3 linked regions of the Elephas maximus indicus genome follow. The protein of the gene in region 3 interacts with the protein of the main gene of each other region in a biochemical or structural test. Links are inferred from orthologs where the notes say so. Each region holds a gene or a part of one and is shown on either strand. Other genes may lie near its edges.

Region 1 (6,834 bases), on a different chromosome or scaffold from region 3:
GCCATCATTCCCAGTATTGTGTGGTTGTCCTCCATTTTGTGATTGTAATTTTATGTTGAGAGGATTAGGGTGGGATTGTAACACCACCCTTACTCAGGTCACTTCCCCGATCCAAGGTAAAGGGAGTTTCCCTGGGGTGTGGCCTGCACCACCTTTTATCTCTCAAGAGATAAAGGGGAAGGGAAACAAGCAGAGAGTGGGGAACCTCATACCACCGCAAAGCAGCACCAGAAGCAGAGCATGTCCTTTGGACACGGGGTCCCTGCACCTGAGAAGCCCTTCGAACAAGATAAGATTGAGGACAAAGACCTTCCTCCAGAGCCGACAGAAAAAGAAAGCATTCCCCTGAAGCCGACGCCCTGAATTTGGACTTGTAACCGAGTAGACTGTGAGAAAATAAATTTCACTTTGTTAAAACCATCCACTTGTGGTATTTTTGTTATAGCAGTACTAGATAGCCAAGACAGTCTCCTTTTCATCTTATCCAAAGAAAAATGTGGAAAATTGACAACATAACCAAAGACTTGAGGGGAGATGGAGAAAAACTGAGAAAAATCTTAGTGGATTGCCTAGAACTCAAAATGTAGTCTCTACTGCTCTAAATTCCCTACAGCCCTATTAACATACTTTCTGCTTTCCGTCTTTTCATTCTTCAATGTGCGGGGCATTGTCCCTTCTTCAGAGAGCACATAGGCTAGTGGGAGAGACCATTCTAGCATTAATATCTTTTGGCTCTCCTGTAACCTCAGAATGTAAAGTATTTTTATGAAAGCAAATCAATCACTCCTCTTAAAGAAATGTTCTGCAATACGCTCCTCCCTCAACAACTCCCTGTGAAATTCCTCTTTTCTATGTCTCTTCTTCATTCTATATCCTACTTACCTGTTGCTGTTGAGTTGATTTCAAATCACAGTGACCATATTGGACAGAGTAGACCCTATAGGACAGTCTTTTCTTCTTGAATATATACCTTTCATCTGAAGGACTCTTTTGATTGTACATTTTCAAGATTGACTTTAACATAAACCTTATACTTTTACCAACAGACCAAATTATTGATATGCTATGTAAGGAGATTTCTACCCTTATTGGCCAAGTCCTTCTTCCTGTGGCTTCTAAAAGAATTGGATTCCAAAAGTAGTATTTCTCAAAATTAACCTCAGGTTACAGTCTACAAACTTATTAACACTATCTATTAAGGCAGACTTTCCACTTATGCATATCTTGGCATTATCACCTAGAGTGCAGTCAAGGGTATGCTAAAAGCATAGGGTACGACTATGTTACTGTCATTCCCCATTACAGTAGATAAGCAAGGTAACTCAGCTTTCACTAGAACAGAAACTAGGCTTCCGTTTTTTCTCCCCTTACACAGGGACAGGCTTAAATCTTTCCCACACCTCCTAAAACTTCCAAAGATCCGAAACTACCTTCCCCATTACTATACTTCTCTACCTTGACAAATTTTTTTGAACTGGTATACTCTCTCACTTCAAGCCCATCAGTCTTAGCTAGTTCCACCTCCTGCACCTACTGAAATTGTCACTGAGGAAACCGATAACATCTTAAACACAAAGTCAAAGGCCTATTTTTCAAGCAATGGAAGGGCTGGTGTGGAGTTCACCAGCATGACAGCACTTAACTGAGCTCTTACTCTGTGCTACGCATTGTACGAATTTAAATTAAGCTTTCTAAAATGACTCATTTGATCTTCACAACAATTCTGAGAAGTATTATTACCCCGTTTTCACAGATTAAAATTAAGGCTCAAAATTACCTAAGGCCATATAGTTAGTGAAGCCTGTATGATTTCAATATTTGCAGTTCTCTGTAGCTTCTGAAGATAAGTTTTGTTCCCAGTTCTCTGTCCTTTTCTCCATCTCTTTCATTATGCGATCATCCTCTGCTCATCGCCACTTCCCTTCTTATTTCACATGCTCTTCTGGACAATTTAATCTCCTTCCATAGTTTCAACTACATTCCATATTACTGTTTCTCAGCCTTTAAAAAATTTCAATAAACATAAAAATCCTGTGATTTTTCTGTAGTTATTTGAAAATAGATTTTTCCAAATAAAAAATATATAATGTTGAATGTTTTTTCAAATTAACCTCCTCCCACCTCTCAAGATCTGATAACTTCTTATGCATTACCCCATGACAAGAATCAGTGACCAGTCCGCATGTCTTTGAAATCAGTCTCTCAAACAATCAATCTTTCTCCCTCTCTCTGTAGCTCAGACCTCTCTCCCAAGTTGGACAAATATCTCCAACTGTCTAACTTCATGATTATCTCCCCAGGCCCTTCAACCTAAAACTGTTCAAAACAAAACTCTCATTTCCCTCAGCAAACGTGATCCACTTCTTGTGTTCTCCATTTTGGCTAAAGGTATCACAATCTACCCCGTCTTAAGGTGCCAATTTGCAAAACGATGCTACTGGCACTCTTTAACTTTCTTGAGCTGCTAAGTAAAAATCAGCTATTAAACAGTGAGTGCCTATTAGGGCCAAGAGCTATAAAGGAATGCAAAGTAGTACAATATACCATCATCGTCCTCCTTAGGAAGTTTCCAAGAAAGAACATACCACCCCCAATTGACTTTGCGTGTGTGTGAAACATTTTTCCCATTTACAAGGTACTCTTTCACAAACATTTTAATTCTTACCACAAACCAATTATGCCTGTTTTACAAACGAGAAAACTGAGACTCATGGTGATTAGGTAATTTAACCAAAGTCTCACTACCATAGCTGGGAAATAGTCGGTCGAGAACCCCAGACTTGAGTTTTCAGATTATACTCCCTTTCCATTATTGTTGACATAAACTTACACAAAATATTACGAAAACAGAAACCTGCGCACAGAAAACGTCAAAAGAGCAGGCCACAGTCAAGTGCCAAATGGCACAAATCAACCTGAAGGCGCTATGGATCGGCTTTTCAGTCAGGGCTGGGGGCCACCTGGCCGGGCCCTCGCTCCTACACCCCTTTCATCCTGGGAAGTCCCTCCGCAGCCTGTCCCTAAGTCGGAGGGCTCAGAGGCAACCGCGGGAAAACTACGCTCTGCAACCCGAAGCGCAGATAGTAGGGCCTCTCGCCATCCGGCTCCGGCTCCGGCTCCGGCTCCGGCCCCGGCTCCGGCTCCGGCTCCGGCCCCGGCCCCGCCCCGGCCCCGGCTCCGGCCCCGGCCCCGCCCCGGCTCCGGCTCCGGCTCCGGCTCCGGCCCCGGCTCCGGCCCCGGCCCCAGGCTGAGTCTGGGATCGGCCGCAGCCACAGTGCGGCTTGCCTCTCCGGCATCCGACCGGTGGGAAATGAGCGTACCTGGTGGAGGAGGCGGCTGGAGGGCAGGCGATCCAGGCAACTCTAAAAAATGGGAATGACCCTGGCGGCAGCCTGGGAAAGTCTCCAACGCTAACCGCATTCACTAGGGTTAGTCAATACGCAGCCACCAGGACTCCAGAAGGCTGCGCGAGGACCCGGCCTGCTGCACAGAGGACATCGCACTGGGGGACGAGAGGGGGCGGAGACGCGACCCGTGGGGGCGGGGCGCGCGGCGCGAGGGGGCGGGCACGACAGGGGCGGGGCTCGGGGAGCGAGAAGGGGGCACGACGGGGTCGGGGCGCCAGGTGAGCGGAAGCGGGCAAGAGTAGGCGGGCACAAGAGGAGCGGCCGCGCGACCCGAGGAAGCGGGCACGAGAGGATCGGGTCGAGTGCCGCGAGAAAGCGGGCACTACGGGGGCGGGACAAGAGGAGACGGGCACGTGGGGGCGGGGCGCGGCGCGCAGCGTCAGGGAGGGCGGGGCGCGCGTATCGGCGCCGCGGCTGCGTGACGCGTTTTCAAATCTTCAACCGCCGCAGCCCACTCGCTTGTGCTTCGCCCGTTTCTCTTCCGCGCCTTGGAGCCGGATTCGGCCTTGGAGGCCCGGCCCGTAGACGCGGCATCTCTACTGCGAGGTGGCCGCTGACCGCGGAACGAAGGAAGTAGCGAGCCTGTCACAGGACCGAAGGAGCCGTGTTTTCCCGGCAGTCCGGCGCGACACCATCTCCGGACCCAGCATGTAGGTGCCGGGTGGCTGCCATGAACTCCGGAGCCATGAGGATCCACGGCAAAGGACATTTCCAGGGTACGAAGCCCCTCCTCCGCCCGCAGGCCATTTAATCCTCTTCTTCCTTCAATGACTCCACCATTGATCCCTCAGAGTTTTCTTGTCCGGTCCACTTATTTTCTTTTCCAGCTTTTGCGGCCTTCCTTTCTTCTTTGTGGAGACGTGGCCTGAAGGAAGGCTCCGTTCAAGGTTTTGCCACAGAAAGGGTCCGGGGTCCGGCCCAGCCCGTGCGCCCTCCATGCCCAGCAAGCCCCAGATTCCGGGTCTTCGGTTGGTTGTAAAACTAGGGAACGATGTGCGGACCCCAGAACTTGCCGGGGTACTGCGGTGCCTCCTTCCCGGCCGTCCCACAGACGCTGAGACTCGGCTCAGGCCCTCTGAAGCTGCAGACTCAGCCCTCAATTTAAAGACAGACGTGTTTGTGGCTTTTCACTTCATGAACAGATTGGGGTGATTGTGGGTGGATTTTTGGTCTTAAGTTTATTTTTCTTCGCTCTTAAAGGTAAGCGGAAGTGTATTTCAAACACATTGTTTCCAACGTTATGGACAAATAGGAAACAAAAGTGCGTTTCCATTTTCCATCACTTATTTGGTGAAACATTCCAGTCTCTAAGTTTTTCTTTTTTAATATGTATATGAATTTATGAAGAGATTGTGTTCTAAAAGTTAATTTTTAAAGCATTTCCTTGAATCTCAGTTTCGTTTTCAGTGGAAATAATGAAGTGAATGGTGACTGGTTCTTGCACTGACCCTTAATAGTTCATAATACACAAACTGTATATGAAACTAAAACTCCGATAGTCATGAACCCTTGAGGACAAAGTCATTCTGGGTAACAGAAGTTTTCTGCATAACTAAGTGTTTAGTACTTTAAGTGCAAGTTTTGAGTGTTCAACAGAAGAGCAGATGCTCAATAAATATTTGTTGCATGAATACTCATGGCGTTCACATTCGAAGGAGGAAAATCTTTGTAAAAGGTTTTTTATAGTTCTGTGCCTTAGTGAAAAAAAATTTCCTGCTGATCGAGACTTTTCTGTAAATAAATAATTATTTAATAATAGAACATTTTCTGTTTGCATAAAACATGATCTAATCCTAAACATGTTTAATAACAGGTGGAATCCAAGTCAATAATGAAAAAAACAGACCATCTCTGAAGTCTCTGAAAACTGACAGCAACAAACCAGAAAAATTCAAATACAAGCCACTTTGGGGGAAAGTATTTTACCTTGACTTACCTTCTGTCTCAATATCTGAAAAACTGCAAAAAGACATTAAAGATCTAGGCGGGGTAAGTTAAAACCACACACTTTGACAAACAAGGAAAAAAATTGTAACTAGTACTTTTTAATGTAATACGCAGTCATTTAAAATCCTCACTTTGAAAAACTTGTAAAAATCTGTCAGCCCAAGCTTAAACTTTTTATCAGCTTCTTATTATTGCTGGGAAAAAAAAAAAAATTAACTTTTGTAGCTTGACAAAACTTTCAGATCTCTGTCGTTTGTAGCCTAGTGTAAAGTTCCCAAATTTTGAGAAAGGAGACTCCCTTATCCTAATGGAACCGCCGATTATCTTACTGTAATGTCGGGATGCCCTCCAAATGACAAGAACTCCTTGATTATGTTTATTGGGGAGCTGCATAAATTTGTATGGAGTAGTATAACAGTAAGTATGTTACTACAGGACACAGAAGACCAGTTCAAACCACAGTGTTAAAATTGCTTTTGAGGGATATTGTCTCAACAGAATGAATGTCATTAAGGGAACAATTTTGAATTAAGAACCTGAAAAACCTATTTATTTCCTACATTGCACATTGATTAGATGATTATTGCTGTTGTTAGGTGCTGTGAGTCGCTTTTCAACTCATAGCAACCCCGTGTGACACAATAGAACTACCCCATAGGGTTTTCTAGGCTGTAATCTTTATGGGAGGAACCCTTCAGTTAGTAGCTGAGTGTTTAGCCATTGTACCATAGGGCTCTTTGTTTAGATGATTAGGAAATTATAAAACATGGACAAAATTCTCAGATTTTTCTTAGGACCTGGGTTAATATTGGGTGAATTTTAGTAAGTGAGGCTGTTGTGATTTTATTAATTTATTTCTTATGTCTTTCTGTTTAAAAGATTTGTTTCTGCTGGACTGAGTTTCTTAAGGTCACCATCTTTGAATAAAAGTTTTCTGAATAGAGTCTGTTGTTCGCAGACTAGAAGTTTGAACAAGAATGTGTAACAAGTTTCTTGAAATTTTGTGTTGATGTGATATTTTACTTATCTATCTTTGAAAAGTTATTCTAACTACTTTTTTGCTATTCATTTTGTTAAACTAAAACATTGTCACAGGCTTGTATAATAGTTGCATGTATCATAATGACCATATGGCTGCATTCCTAAAGGTCATGTTTTATAAGCCTGGCACCATATTGACTGTACCACCTGTCAGGAATGTCTTAATGTGTTCAGGACCTTAGACATTGAGTAAAGACCTTTTCATTTTAGAAATGAAGTACCGAGGTCCAGAGAAGTTAAATGGCCCCATCACAGCATGATTAATCTCCTAATTCCCAAAATAACATACCACTGCTCCATTCTGTTCCTTTAGCTACTAATGGTACAAAGTAGCTATTTAGTATAATGTGACAGATTTTTCAAAAATGATGAATTACTCTTTAGTCCTTCTTGTCTAAATCAGTGATTTTTAAACTTGTGTTTTTAGCAGTGGAACCCT
Region 2 (7,970 bases), on a different chromosome or scaffold from region 3:
ACATAATACTAGAACCAAATCAGATTCATCCTTTGCACCCTGCCTAGGACACAACATAAGTCAGTAGCTATGGGAGACACTGTCTTCAAGGAGCTTATAGTATACATTGAAGAGATTCAAAATACAGGAATAACAACACAAGGCAGTGCACAATGATGTGGCAAATGATTAATAAGGCTGAATTGTTAAATACAGGTAATCTTAAGAAAAATGGAAGAGGAACACCATTCATTCAACTGGACAAAAGGGGCATTTTAAGATTATTAGTACCAGTGTATGAGATGAACTGGAGTGTGGAAAGGAAGTGAAAGCAGGCAGTTTAGGTAAGAAACTTCATTACAATTAAGGAGCAATGTGATAAAGGGATGAATTAATGTGGTGGCAGAGGGAATGGAGAGGCAATGCTATACACATTAAAAAGAAAGAAGACAATGCTGGGTGAACTAGATTAGGAAGCAAATACAAAGCATTAACTCCGTAACAACTCTACAGTTTTGAGCATAGGTAACCTGGATTCATCACCAAAATTAGGGAACCCACGAAATGTACTCATTTTGAGACCAAAAATGAGCTTACTTTCAGTCAGGAAGCATAAGTATACACTGAGCATGGACAAAAGGCCAAAACTAATCGGCTTTGGACAAACACTAAATTCACTTAAAAGAAAGATGGAAAAGACTTAGCCAGCTTTTAAGGAAAAAAAAAAAATAATAATAACAGTTAACTGGAACTCCTCCATTTAACAAATATTTACTGAATGCCTACTATGTCCCAGGCACTGTGCTAAAACAGGAATGAAGACAAACATTTTAGTGTACAAGACTAGATATTGTTTGACCCTCTCCTCCTCACCCCAAGGTCTGGGATAAATTCAAACAATGCTTCATGATACACACTGAGATACATTGTTGTTAGCTGCCATGACAGTTTAATGGAGAATTGTCTTCCAACATGTACAGGTGTTCAATAAAAATGATGCTTAACAGATTTAGTAACAGACATGTTCAGATGAGACCATAATTTTCTTCTTCCCCCACCAAAGCACTTGGAGTGGCAGGAAAAGAGCAAAAATATATTACTTGGAACACATTTTTATTCAAATAGATTAACAATCAAGTAAATTATACTGTATTTTTCAATAAAATCTAGGATTGTTGTTGTTAGCTGACATGCAATCAGCCCCCAATTTATAATGGCCCATGTACAACAGTAACAAAATGCCGCCCAGTCCTGTGCCATCCCCATGATTGACTACGGATCAGGCCACTGTGAACCACAGAGTTTTAACTGGCTGATTTTCTGAAGTAGGCCTTTCTTCCTAGTCTGTTTTAGTCTGGAAGCTCTGCTGAAACCTGTTCATCATCACAGCAACATGCAAACATTCGCTGTGCTGACAGGAATGGTGGCTGCATATGCGGTGCAATCAAACCAAGGTCTCTTGCATGGAAGGCAAGAATTCTACCACTGAGCCACCACTGGGTGCGGCCGGTGCTCCCACAGGTTTTGTGCTTTATTGTTGCTACAAACATTTCATGTATTTGTGTCAGTGAATTCTGCCTCTGAATACTTTAGTAAAGATCCCTCCAGTGTCAAGCTTAAGACAATACAGTGAGAAGAGATAAGACCATAGGTCTAGGAAGAGGCAAATTCTAGGTTGGGCATTAACAAACTTGGTGTTATCAGGCAGTCACTAACGTTTAGACTTTGGAGCCCTGGTGGTACAGTGGTTAAGAGCTCTTCCGCTAACCAAAAGGCTGGCAGTTCAAATCCACCAGCTGCTCACTGGAAACTCTACGGGGCAGTTCTATTCTGTTCTATAGTGTTGCTATGAGTTGGAAAAGGCTCGGTGGCAATGGGTAATTGTTCAGACTTTAGCAACTTCATCTGTACAATGACAAAACAGGATTACAATCCTCTTTCTAAACTGCAATCCAATCCTAAATCTAGATCTTATAAAGCTTTACTGATTTGTAAAATGTTCCTACGCAAATATACAACTCACTTTAAAGATTCGAGTTATTTTTTTTTTAAAGCAACAAACTCAGAATTGTTACCTCTAAGTACATCTTTGGAATGAAACACATACCTGGAAGTTTAAAACTCTGCTCATCTTTTTTTAACGAGCCATCAACCTGAAGCCGGTTACACGGGGGAGAAAAGGCCACTGGCTCATCCATCTGAATCCCCAAAGACGCCTCCATCACAAAACTGGGATGTAAAGTGCCAGCTAAGAGGTCATGTCCACAGGGGTAGCAAAGCAGCTGGGAAAATTAGAATGCTAGAGAAGATGAGAAATTTAAATCACTCACCGAAGCAAGCACCAAAAAATGCCACTGTCTCCAAAGGGACAAACATTTAAAAGCACTGTATGTTCAAATCCCCAAAGAGAAACTGTGAACTATTTCTAAGGATTCCATTTGCTTTTACCTTCACCTCCCAGAAATCCCGGCAGGGGGCCGAAGGGAGAATGTCATGTCGGGGGACATCAGCAGCTGGCGGCGATGGGAAGGGTGGTGGGGAACTGCTGACGTTTGTATTTGGGCGTGGAAGGGGTGCCCGGAGCGGTTTGACCTGAGGAAGGGGACTGAAGGAGGAAACTGTGACCACTGAGACGGAACTCCAGGAAGCTAGTACGGGGACTCACGCGAGTTGGCAGAGAACTCATACGGCCACGAGCCACTAGCGGCGGGCGGAGGAAGGGAATGGGCAATGAATGGACATTATCCGGCCGCGAGCTCAGTAGGGCAGGACCTTCCGCTCAGACCAGAGACGAAGCGGATGCTTAGTGCGCAGACGCGCAATTTTCCCGCCGCAGGCCAGCGGGACCAGAAGGGGTGGGGGTACTGCACTGCGACAAGACTAGCCACGAATTCCGAATTCATTTCTAGTCCCTCAGAAAGAACAAACCGTTGGAAACTCACGGTTTAAGGGAGTACGACTTCCGTGGCTCCCCACATGCCTGGGTCGCCGGCTCCCGGCTCTCCCCACTTAGCAGCTGGCCAAACGCGCCTGCGCTAGACTTCCCGCCGCGCTGTTTCAATTGCGCATGCGCACTGGAAAACTTTAGGCGCTTGCGCAGCAAGGTTAGGTTTCTTCCCCCAAGGCCGTTGCTAGCTGCTACTTGGCTAGAAGAGCGATTATAGAAATAAAATCTGAGGTTAATCGTTTACTAAAAAATAGAGTGAACCATTAGGTTAAGGGTCCAACACTATTTTCAGGAAAGACTATAGTTCAGAAAAAGGAAAGCCTCAGGCTCTGGAGTCTTGACACATTTCTCCATACCGTAGCCACACCAAGGCATGGGCAGCCTGGATTAAAGACGTGTACTTTGTCGCTCTTTTACTTCCTTTCCGTTGAGTGCTCTGCCTTTCCGGTAAAAATACACAAACGCAAAATGCCAATTCCTGATTGTTTATGACTATTCACAGAAATAAGTACAGTTGGCGCTCATTTAGCATATATTTATTGAGTGCTTGACTATGAGGTAGGCAGGTGAACAAGGTAGACAATAAAAAAAAAATAGTCGACACTTAATGAGGCTAAATTCTAGTGAGGCGATGACAAATGAATAAAATTCTTACAGATAGTGATGAGCGCCCCAAAGAAATAAAAAAGGAGAAAGAGCAGTTTCAGAGATGTAATAAGGCAGAAAGACTAGAGTGTTTTGAGGAACGAAAGATGTTCTTGAGGTTTTGTTTTTGTCTTAGAGGGGGAAGGGAGTGGTGAACAGTAGAGATTGATCTAGTAGAGAAAGAAATTGTTGATGTGGGAGAAAAAGGGAATACCTACAGGAATGAAGTTATCAAGGAGGATGAAGGGATGGATTCAAAGCACATGGAGGGGGATATGCCTTTGAAATGAACCCAGATTACCATCCTTTTAACGGCAGGAAAAGAAGAGAAGGATTCAGACGCAGGTGATTTTTGTATGGGTTGGAAAATAAGTTCTTACCTGATCGTATCAGTTTTCTTAATAAAATATGAGCTGAGAGAAAGGCAGGAAGGGGTATTAGAAGTCGGAGGAGCGAGAAAAAGTTCTGAAGTATCTTCTGAGTGAGAATGTGAACTGGGAGAAAGATTATGACATTGGCATCAGGGTTCTCAAGTAACTTTCAGGCCAAGAGAATGCAGACATGGAAAACATAGGTGGATTTAACACTTCGCACAGAGGGAGTGCAAGTCAGGGTATTTACAAGGAAGTGGTTGTAATGATGCATCATGGAATCCAGGAGGCTAGGAGGAATGGTGATAGGGAAGTTGGTAGAAAGATAAAAGTCAGGAGAACAATGGATTGGAAATCAGTATGTAATCTAAGAATTTGTATAATGGAGGTATGAGTTATAAAGGTAAGGGTGGTGCATAAGATGGTGAAAGTTGGGGTTTCAGAGATAAGATCATTGGAGAGGATAGCTAAAATTGTTGGAGGAAAAGATTCATTTTGGTGTGAAAAGTTAAGATTATTCTAACTCCAAAACCCATGCACAGGCCACCACTGAGATACCAGTTATTTTACCTAATCCACTTTCTCCCCAGACAGTAAGTAATCCCCTCCCCTGATCCCCATTAGTACTTTTTGCAGCGAACAGGCATAGGCAAGAAATTCAGAATCCTGGACCCCACCTCAGACCTACTGAATCAAAATCTGCATTATAAAAGACCCTCAGGTGATTTGCATGAATTTTACATTTTGAGAAGCACTGTTCTAGAACACGGGTGCTCAACCTTGGCTGCACTTTAGAATCACCTGAGGAGCTGTTAAAAATTCTGAAGCCCAGGCTGCACCCCAGAACAATTATAACAGAACTTCTGGGTGTGAGATCCAAGGACCAGCATTTTTTATATATATATACTTTTTATTGTGCTTTAACTGAAAGTTTACAAATCACGTCAGCCTATCACACAAAAACCCATATACACCTAGCTACACACTCCCAATTACTCTCCCCCAAATGAGACAGCCAGCTCTCTCCCTCAGCTCTCTCTTTTCATGTCTGTTTCGCCAGCTTCTAACCCCCTCCACCCTCTCATCTCCTCTCCAGGCAGGAGATGCCAACATAGTCTCAAGTGTCCACCTGATCCAAGAAGCTCACTCCTCACCACCATCCCTCTCCAACCCATTGTCTAGTCCAATCCATGTCTGAAGACTTGGCTTTGGGAATGGTTCCTGTCCTGGGCCAACAGAAGGTCTGGGGGCCATCACCACGGGCGTCCTTCTAGTCTCAGTCAAACCATTAAGTCTGGTCCTATGAGAATTTGGGGTCTGCATCCACTGCTCTCCTGCTCCCTCAGGGGTTCTCTGTTGTGTTCCCTGTCAGGGCAGCGTAGCTGGGCACCATCTAGTTCTTCTGGTCTCAGGTTGATGTAGTCTCTGGTTTATGTGGTCTTTTCTGTCTCTTGGGCTTGTAATTACCTTGTATCCTTGGTGCTCTGCATTCTCCTTTGATCCAGGTGGGTTGCAACCAATTGATGGACCTTAAATGGCCGCTTGCTAGCGTTTAAGACCCCAGACACCACTTTCCAAAGTGGGATGCAGAATGTTTTCTTAACAGATTTCATTATGCCAAGATGTCCCCTGAAACCATGGTCACCAGAACCCTGCCCCTGCTATACTGGCTTTCGAAGCATTCAGTTTATTCAGGAAACTTCTTTGCTTTTGGTTTAGTCCAGTTGTGCTGACCTCCCCTATATTGTGTGCTGTCTTTCCCTTTGCCTAAAGTAGTTCTTATCGACTATCTAATTAGTGAATGCCCCTCTCCCAGCCTCCCTCCCTCCCCCGTCTCGTAACCACAAAAGAATGTTTTCTTCTCAGTTTAAACTATTTCTCAAGTTCTTATAATAGTGGTCTTATACAATATTTGTCCTTTTGCAACTGACTAATTTCACTCAGCGTAATACTTTCCAGGTTCCTCCATGTTATGAAATGTTTCACAGATTCCTCACTGTTCTTTATCCATGCGTAGTATTCCATTGTGAATATACCGTAATTTATTTATCCATTTCATCCGTTGATGGGCACCTTGGTTGCTTCCATCTTTTTGCTATTGTAAACAGTGCTGCAATAAATATGGGTGTGCATATATCTGTTCTTGTAAAGGCTCTTATTTCTCTAGGATATATTCTTATTCTACTCTGTCCTATAGGGTCGCTATGAGTCGGAATCGATTCGACGGCAGTGGTGGTTTTATATTCCAAGGAGTGGGATTGCTGGATCGTATAGTAGTTCCATTTCTAGCTTTTTAAGGAAGTGCCAAATCAATTTCCAAAGTGATTGTACCATTTTACATTCCCACCAGCAGTGTATAAGTGTTCTAGACTCTCCACATCCTCTCCAATATTTATTATTTTGTGTTTTTTGGATTAATGCCAGCCTTGTTGGAGTGAGATGGAATCTCATTGTAGTTTTGATTTGCATTTCTCTAATGGCTAATGATCGTGAGCATTTCCTCATGTATCTGTTAGCTACCTGAATGTCTTCTTCAGTGAAGTGTCTATTCATGTCCTTTGCCCATTTTTTAATTGGGTTATTTGTCTTTTTGCAGTTGAGTTTTTGCAGTATCATGTAGATTTTAGAGATCAGATGCTGATCAGAAATGTCATAGCTAAAAACTTTTTCCCAGTCCATAGGTAATCTTTTTACTCTTTTGGTGAAGTCTTTGGATGAGCAAAGTCTTTGGATGATTTTTAGGAGCTCCCACTTACCTAGTTTTTCTTCTACATTCTTTATAGCGTTTTGTATACTGCTTATGCCATGTATTAGGGCTCCTAACGTTGTCTATATTTTTTCTTCCATGGTCTTTATCATTTTAGATTTTATATTTAGGTCTTTGATCCATTTCGAGTTAGTTTTTGTGCACGGAGTTTTTTGCAGATGGATATCCAGTTATGCCAGCACCATTTGTTTAAAAAAGACGGTTAAGACTGTCTTTTTCCCATTTAACTGTTTTGGGGCCTTTGTCAAATACCAACTGCTCATATGTGGATGGATTTATGCCTGGATTCTCAGTTCTGTTCCATTGGTCCATGTATCTGTTGTTGTACCAGTACCAGCCTGTTTTGACTACTGTGGCGGTATAATAGGTTCTAAAATCAGGTAAAGTAAGGCCTCCCACTTTCTTCTTCTTTTTCAGTAATGCCTTATTTATCCAGGGCCTCTTTCCCTTCCATATGAAGTTGGTGATTTGTCTCTCCATCTCATTAAAGAATGTCGTTGGGATTTGAATCGGAATTGGATTAAATGTATAGATCACTTTTGGTAGAACATTTTTATAATGTTAAGTCTTCCTATCCACGAGCAAGGTACGTTCTTCCACTTATGTAAGTCTCTTTTGGTTTCTTGCAGAAGTGTACTGTAGTTTTCTTTGTATAAGTCTTTTACATCTCTGGTAAGATTTATTCCTAAGTATTTTATCTTTTGGGGGGCTACCGTAAATGGCATCGATTTGGTGATCTCCTCTTTGATGTTTTTTTGTTGGTGTAGAGGAATTCAACTGGTTTTTGTATGTTTATCTTGTATCCCGATACTCTGCTGAACTCTTCTATTAGTTTCAGTAGTTTTCTGGAGGATTCCTTAGGGTTTTCTGTGTATAAGATCATGTCATCTGCAAATAGAGATACTTTTACTTCTTCCTTGCCAATCTGGATGTCCTTTATTTCTTTATGTAGCCTAATTGCTCTGGCTAGGACTTCCAGCACAATGTTGAGTAAAGGTGGTGACAAAGGGCATCCTTGTCTGATTCCCGATCTCAAGGGGAATGTTTTCAGGTGATATTAGCTGTTGGCTTTGTATAAATGCCCTTTATTATGTTGAGGAATTTTCCTTCTATTCCTATTTTGCTGAGAGTTTTTATCATGAATGAGTGTTGAACTTTGTCAAATGCCTTTTCTGTACCAGTTAATGAAATCATGTGATTCTTGTCTTTTGTTTTATTTATGTGGTGGATTACATTAATTGTTTTCCCAATGTTGAACCAT
Region 3 (7,116 bases):
AGTGGCAGTTATATTGATGAGATCTACAAGATTAGATAGTGCCTTAAGCCAATCTCTTTTGAGATATAAAAGAGAAAAGTGAGCAGAGAGACATGGGGACCTCATACCACCAAGAAACCAGTGCCAGGAGCAGAGTGTATCACTTGGACCTGTGCGGAGAAGCGCCTAGTCCACAGGAAGATTGATGAAAAGGACCATCCTCCAGAGCCGACAGAGAAAGGCTTTCCCTGGGGCTGATGCCTTGAATTTGGAATTCTAGCCTACTAGGCTGTGAGTGAATAAACTTCTGTTTGTTAAAGCCATTCACTTGTGGTTTTTCTGTTATGGCAGCACTAGATGACGAAGAAAAACAGGCATAGAGAAGTGGATGAAAGAATGGTGTGATCAGATAATAAATCAGAGAATGCTTCATACTGAGGCCAGCCTATTCTTAGGAGGGGCCCTAGCAGAGGGCTATTGGCTCAGGCTGAGGGTCAGCCAAAGTTTAGGAACTTGAGGTAACGAAAGAAGATTAACCCCAAGTTTGGTTAATAAGCATTGTGTTCTGACTGATCAGTGGGGACAAGTAGCTCAGCTAATTGTTTACAAGGCAAAGGATGGGAATGTGGAAGGTCTGTGTCTGGCCTCGTCACGGGTAAACAAGGGGGCATCTCTGAGTCTTCCCCCACCCCAGCTCCCCCCGCCCCCCAGCTTCTGCCGGGCCTAATCTGCTCTTTTATATCTCAAAAGTGATTGGCTTAAAACACATCCTACACTGATATGACCTTATTAAAATAACAAAGAAAACTCCATCCGCACACAGAATTACCACCACAGGTATTGTTGTTAGTTGTCATCTAGTTGATTCTGACTCCTGGTGACCACATGCGTGCAGGGTAAAACTGCTCCATAGGGTTTTCAAGGTTGTGACCTTTTGGAAGCAGATCACAAGGTCTCTCTTCTGAGGCAACTCTGGGTGGGTTTGAACCGCCAAGCTTCGGCTAGTAGTTGAGCTCTTAACCACTGATGCCACCCAGGGACTCCTTTCCACAGATATGTTGTGTGCCTTCAAGTCGATTCTGACTCATAGCGGCCCTATATGACAGGGTAGAGCTGCCCCATAAAGTTTCCTAAGCTGTAATCTTTACAGGAGCAAATCTTCTGGTCTTTTCTCCCATGGAGCTGCTGAATAGTTCAAAGTTCCGACCTTTCAGTTAGCAGCAGAGCACTTAACCATTGCACCATCAGGGCTCCTTTTCCACAGGTACACCAAAAAAGCAAACCTGCTGCCGTCAAGTCGATGCCAAGTCATAGCGATCCTATAGGACAGAATAGAACTGCCCCATAGGAATTCCAAGGCTATAATTTTTATGGAAGCAGACTACTACATCTTTCTCCTTCGGAGCAGCTGGTGGGTTCAAACTGCCGACTTTTCAGTTAGCAGCCAAGTGCTTAATCACTGTGCCACCAGGGCTCCTCCCGTAAAGAGTGAATTTGGAAGTAGATCCTCTCCCACTCGCCTTCAGATGAGAACCCAGCCAAGGTCTCTTGTGAGAGACCTTGAGGCAAAGGTTAAGCTGTGCCCATATTCCTGACTGTGATGGTTAATTTCATGTGTCAACTTGGCTAGTCTATGATTCTCAGTGGTCTGGCCAGATACTGGACGTGTTGCTGTTCCCTATTGCAATGTATAATGGTTAAGATTGTGTGTCAACTTGGCTGGGCCATGATTCTCAGTGGTTTGGCAGTTATGTATGAAGTAATGTGGAAGTTATGTAATGATGTAGTTATCCTCCATTTTGTGATATAATGTTATCACCTCCATGATATGATCTGATGTGATCAGCTAATCAGATGTAAAGGGAGTTTATTCAGGGGTGTGACTTGCATCCAATGTTGTTGTTGTTGTTAGGTGCTGTTGAGTCGGTTCCGACTCGACTCATAGCAACCCTATGCACAACAGTTTGTCATACTGTAGGGGCTTGTGTGTTGCAGTGATGCTGGAAGCTATGCCACCGGTATTGAGATACGAGCAGGGTCACCCATGGAGGACAGGTTTCAGCTGAGCTTCCAGACTAAGACAGACTAGGAAAAAGGACCCGGCAGTCTACTTCTGAAAAGCATTAGCCAGTGAAAACCTTATGAATAGCAGCGGAACATTGCATCCAATATATATGGATATTCTGGCAAAGCTCACTGGCTTTTGGATCCTACATCTGGCTTGTCATAATCTGATCTCTGGTTCTTAAGACTTAAGCCAGCAGCCTGCTGTACTGTCTGCTGATCTTGGGATTGTCAGCCCCTGCAGCTATGTGACTCAGGAGAAGCCTGCAACCTGATGCCTGACCCATGGACTCGGGTCTTGCCAGCCTCTACAACCATGTGAGCCATTTCCTTGAGATAAATCTTTCTCTGTCTCTCTCTCTCTATATATACACTCATTGCTGTCAAGTCAATTCCAACTCACAGTGACCCTATAGGACAGAGTAAAACTGCCCCAAGGAGGAGCCAGTGGGTTCAAACTGCTGACCTTTTGGTTAGCAGCAGAGCTCTTAACCACTGCACCACCAGGGCTCCAACATTAACTGTAAGTCATTAGAAACGTGTTAAGTCTTAAGAAAGTTATTTAGAAAATTTCTGAACTTAGACATAGAAACAGAAGTGTGTGAAGTATGGGAAGAACGTAAACAACCTTTAAGTTCATTTGACCTGGCATGCTGTGACACAAGAAAACATAAATCTAAACAACCTCCCCAATCTTGAACCTTGAAGAAAAGATGTGTCACTTGGCTACTCTCTAACCCTAAAGAAACGGCATTACATACTAGTCTTTGATGTCACTGTGGTGTCAAGGTGACAAATTCACTTATAAACTCCAAGTTTCTGCTCACTCACTGAGCGAAGGCAGAGGCGGAACTGAGATTCTGTCCACTGCCACCGACCTTGGACCCTAGCTACTAGCTACGAGGGGCCCCCTCCACTGAGTTCTTGCTGTGGTTAAGCCTTCCTCTCGAGCCCTCTCATTAAAGATAAAAGAATGAAGTCTAAAGATCTGGACTCTAATCATTGAACTAACATTGTAACCGTTAATTCTGAGTCTCTGGTTCTAAGTGAGTGTTGTGCAGTCTTGCTTGCATGCCTTGCCTTGACTGCCTTGCAATAAACTAAACGAGTTTATGCATGACGAACCTGAGAATCTATTTATTTTCTAAGATTCCTACAATCCTACACACACAGCTGCCAACAAAGCAGCCTAGCGCTTAACCATCGTGCCACCAAACAACATGCCTCAGAAAACAAGCTTTTGTTGAAGGGATCAACCTCTCTGAGCCAGCTGCGTCTTCTATGTTGCTGTTGTTAGGCACCATCCAGCCAGTTTCGACTCATAGCAATCCCATTTACAACCGAAGGAAACACCGCCCGGTACTGCGACGTTGTTATCCTTGAGCCCCTTGTTGCCCCTTGTTGTGTCAATGCATCTCTTTGAGGTCAGTGAAAAAGAGAAAGAAAAGAGGTCTTCCTCTTTTTTGCCGACCCTCTACTTCACCACGCATGATATTCTTCTCCAGGGACTGATCCCTCCTCCTGATAACATGTCCAAAATATATGAGACAAAGTCTCACCATTCTTGCTTCTAAGGAGCTTTCTAGCTGTGCTTCTTCCAAGACAGATTGGTTTCTTCTCTTGGCGGTCCATGGTATATTCAATACTCTTTGAGAACACCATAATCCAAAGACGTCAATTCTTCTTCCCTCTTCCTTATTCATTGCCGAGCTTTTGGGGCTTGAAGGATTGAAAACACCACGGCTTGGGTCAGGCCCACTTTAGTCCCTAAAGTGACATGCTTGCTTTTTACCATAACTTGACCAGGACGCGCAGCCAGTAGGTGGAGCTGGCGCTCCTCGCACCCAGACCCTGCCCCAGCTCTCAGATCTTTTGCGGTCAGTGTAGCCCGAGGGCAACCCTGGTACACGACCCGCAGGCGACCTCTGCTCCCGGAAGCTGCGGCACGGCCCGCGGCCGACGGGGGCGGAGCCGGACTCACTGGCCCACCCCACGCGCGCCAGCTGGACGCAAGTAGACGCCGTGACGTCATCACGCCATATTCATTATTCACGGCGTTTCCCGGGCTCCGGCGAGTCACGTGACACCACTTTTGGCGCGAAACCGGCGGTGGCGGGCTTAGCGGAGAGGAGCGCGGCGCTACTATGGCGGTGAGCTGTAGCGCCAGCGGGGCCCGGGCGTGCGGGTGGTGCCCGTGGGGCCGGCGCGTTTGCCCTGGGGATCGGCCGTGGCGTGGGGCGGCGGGGACCGGGGCGAATGAGCCGTCTCCGCCAGGCTTGCACGTTTACACGGGGGGCTGAGAGCGGAGTGGGGCGGCTGGGGGCCGGTGAGCACCAAGAACGGACACGGGAGACTCGGGGGAGTTGTGCCTTCTAGTCCCCTGGTGTCGCCCTCCTCAGGCGCTGCCATACTTCAGTCCTGGGTCAGGTCCCCCAGACCGAGGCCTGGCCCCTGGTCTCAGGTTTGGAGAGGCTTCTCCCCTCTCTTCCCCTCTGACGGGGTCTGAAAGGCACGGGGGCGGACGTTCGAGTCCGCCTGGCGCTCCCCGTTCCCCGCACCATCCTGGGAGCGCTGAACTCCGTGAGCGAACTGCCTGACCGAGCTCTCCAGTGCCCGTGCCCTGTCATTTATTCATTTCGCATACGCTTCTTGGGCACCATCTGCATGCCTGGCCCAGGGTATACACCAGGCCACTAGGTCTCTGCATCTTCATGCACTTTCTGTTGTAATATTTTCTTGACCTTTTCTCTTGCTGACCACCCCCTGCACCAGCCTGTGGCTCCAGACTGGTTCCAGCAGGGTTCCAGCTCCTGGCACGTTGTGGGTGCACAAATGGGTGGAATGCATGATTAAGGGGGAGCAAGTAGACCATAAACAGGTAACTAAACAAGTGACAGCCTCAGTGATTTCTCGGGGAGAAACGCAGGGCGATGTGAATTCTGGAGCAGCCCAGGCTCAGGGCGGACGTGCCAGCAGAGGGAACCGCAAGTACAGAGGTCTTGTGTGGAAGAGGTTTGATGTGTTTGAAAACGGTGTCACTAGGTCTGGTGGAGAGGGAGGCTGAGAGGAGAGGAGATGGGAGAGGTCACCCCTCATGATAAAGGGAAGCTGTGTCGGCCCTCACCTGGCCATCTGTGACAGCGGCATCTTATCTTCCAGGAATCATCGGAGTCCTTCACCATGGCGTCCAGCCCGGCCAGGCGCCGCCGAGGCACTGACCCTCTCACCTCCAGCCCTGGCCGAAGCTCCCGGCGCACTGATGCCCTGACCTCCAGCCCTGGCCGAGACCTTCCTCCCTTTGAGGATGAGTCTGAGGGGCTGCTAGGCACTGAGGGGCCCCTGGAGGAAGAAGAAGATGGAGAGGAGCTTATCGGAGATGGCATGGAGAGGTATTTTTATTCCAGGCCAAGGGAGACAGGTTCATGGAGCTACAACTCGGGTCTATTTAACATACTTTGGTGTGTCTAACTTACAAAGACTAGACCCTAAGGCCTGGGTAAGCCTACCTGCATGAGATCAGCACCCAGGAAATGCAAAGGGATTTCTAAATTGGGGGCCGCAACTTGGAAAGATAGGAAGCAGCAGTCAGCCAAGTGTGTTTCTCTGCAACTTTTCAAAGAAGCAGTGTATGTATGGGTCTGATTAATCAAGATTTAGCGTCAACCTGCAGACATACTCTGTACCAGGCCCTGTGTTAGATACTTCCACACTTTTTGTCTCACTTAACCCTCGTAAAAATAAACATACCGACATGTATTAAAGGCCGTCGGGACTTAGTATTCAGACACAGTAGAGTCTGCAAGTGAGCAAGGTTAGATTTTTGCTCCTTCCCTATTCTGTATTCACAACTGGGATTTGGTGGAGACTTTAGTGGCAGAATTGTGTGCTCTTTCAGGAGCCTCGCGTAGATTATCCTTTGGTGTCTTTCTTTACCCTCATTCAGTGGTCCCCAAACTTAGAATGAAACTACTGGACAGGCCATTACACAACCCTGGATGGTGCCCTCTGTGAGCCATGGGAGGGATTTTCACAAGCACTCTTAAACGTACAGGAGTTTTGCTTTCATCACTACATGTAGAACCTACCTCACAGGTGGTACAAGTATAGGACTTGCCCGACGAGGAAGGAATGAGGACCCTCTGGATCCATCAGTCCTGTGCTTAGGCCAGGATGCCAGGTCTGGATAGCTCCCCGCTCTTGACGGTGGTGGTGTTCAGGCAGGAGGTGCCTGCCACCCACCAACCCTTCATTGGCTGTCTGTATCTTGACCCTTCTCATTCTCTTCAGTGATTCTGGAGAGAGAGAGGCCCTCATAGGTGGCCTCTGGGCAGAGGTATCTGAAGACTAAAACTAAATCCATTGCCATCGTAATGACCCCGTAGGACAGAGGAGAGCTGCCCCCATTGAGTTTCCAAGGCTGTAATCTTTACGAAGCAGACTGCCGCGGTTTTCTCCCGCAGAACAGCTGGTTGGTTTGAATCACCGACTTGGTTAGCCAAGTGCTTAACACTGTGCCACCAGAGCTCCTTATTTGAAGACTAGCTGGGCCCAATTTGGTTTTGTTGTGTGTGTGTGTTAAACTGCATTATTGAGGCGTAATTTATATAATAAACTTCACCCCATGTAAACATACTGTTCAGTGCTCGTTAGTAAATTTGCTGGGTTGTGCATCTCCACCACCTAGTTTTAGAACATTCCCATCATCCCAGTAAGATCCCCCTTGCCTGTGTATACAGTTAATCCCAAGGCCTATCCCTACCCCCAGACGACCGCTAATCAACTTTCTCTCTATAGAGTTGCCGGTTTGGGACATTTCATACAAGTGGAATCAAACAATGTGGAATTTTTTGTGTCTGGCTTCGTCCACGTAGCATAACCTTGTTGAAGGTTCATCCGTGTGTACCATATATCAGAACTGCATCCTTTGTAATGCTGAGTAATACTTTATTGTACGGATAGACTACGTTTTATTCATTCATCACTTGATGGAGGCTTGGGTGGATACTGTGAAAATATTAGTGTAGTGTGCTTACGAAAACACCTCAATACCTTGGGGTGGAGGTGGGGTTGGAT

The links.
Region 1: of the proteins of MCM2 (region 3) and DBF4, one has a biochemical effect on the other in vitro, tested with the Homo sapiens proteins (3 studies listed by BioGRID). The link is inferred for Elephas maximus indicus from reciprocal best matches to the Homo sapiens genes MCM2 and DBF4.
Region 2: of the proteins of MCM2 (region 3) and CDC7, one has a biochemical effect on the other in vitro, tested with the Homo sapiens proteins (8 studies listed by BioGRID). The link is inferred for Elephas maximus indicus from reciprocal best matches to the Homo sapiens genes MCM2 and CDC7.

Annotation. Positions count from the first base shown.
Region 1 is NC_064826.1:57,941,064-57,947,897, forward strand, and holds the start of DBF4 (protein DBF4 homolog A), read left to right. Parts: upstream 1-3,815; 5' UTR 3,816-4,077; coding exon 4,078-4,123; intron 4,124-4,489; exon of another isoform or gene 4,490-4,607; intron 4,608-5,220; coding exon 5,221-5,396; intron 5,397-6,834. UniProt on the Homo sapiens protein: Regulatory subunit for CDC7 which activates its kinase activity thereby playing a central role in DNA replication and cell proliferation. Required for progression of S phase.
Region 2 is NC_064821.1:150,943,267-150,951,236, forward strand, and holds the start of CDC7 (cell division cycle 7-related protein kinase), read right to left. Parts: upstream 3,020-7,970; 5' UTR 2,922-3,019; intron 2,894-2,921; exon of another isoform or gene 2,428-2,893; intron 2,279-2,427; 5' UTR 2,202-2,278; coding exon 2,087-2,201; intron 1-2,086. UniProt on the Homo sapiens protein: Kinase involved in initiation of DNA replication. Phosphorylates critical substrates that regulate the G1/S phase transition and initiation of DNA replication, such as MCM proteins and CLASPIN.
Region 3 is NC_064838.1:43,133,346-43,140,461, reverse strand, and holds the start of MCM2 (DNA replication licensing factor MCM2), read left to right. Parts: upstream 1-4,103; 5' UTR 4,104-4,187; coding exon 4,188-4,193; intron 4,194-5,202; coding exon 5,203-5,432; intron 5,433-7,116. UniProt on the Homo sapiens protein: Acts as a component of the MCM2-7 complex (MCM complex) which is the replicative helicase essential for 'once per cell cycle' DNA replication initiation and elongation in eukaryotic cells.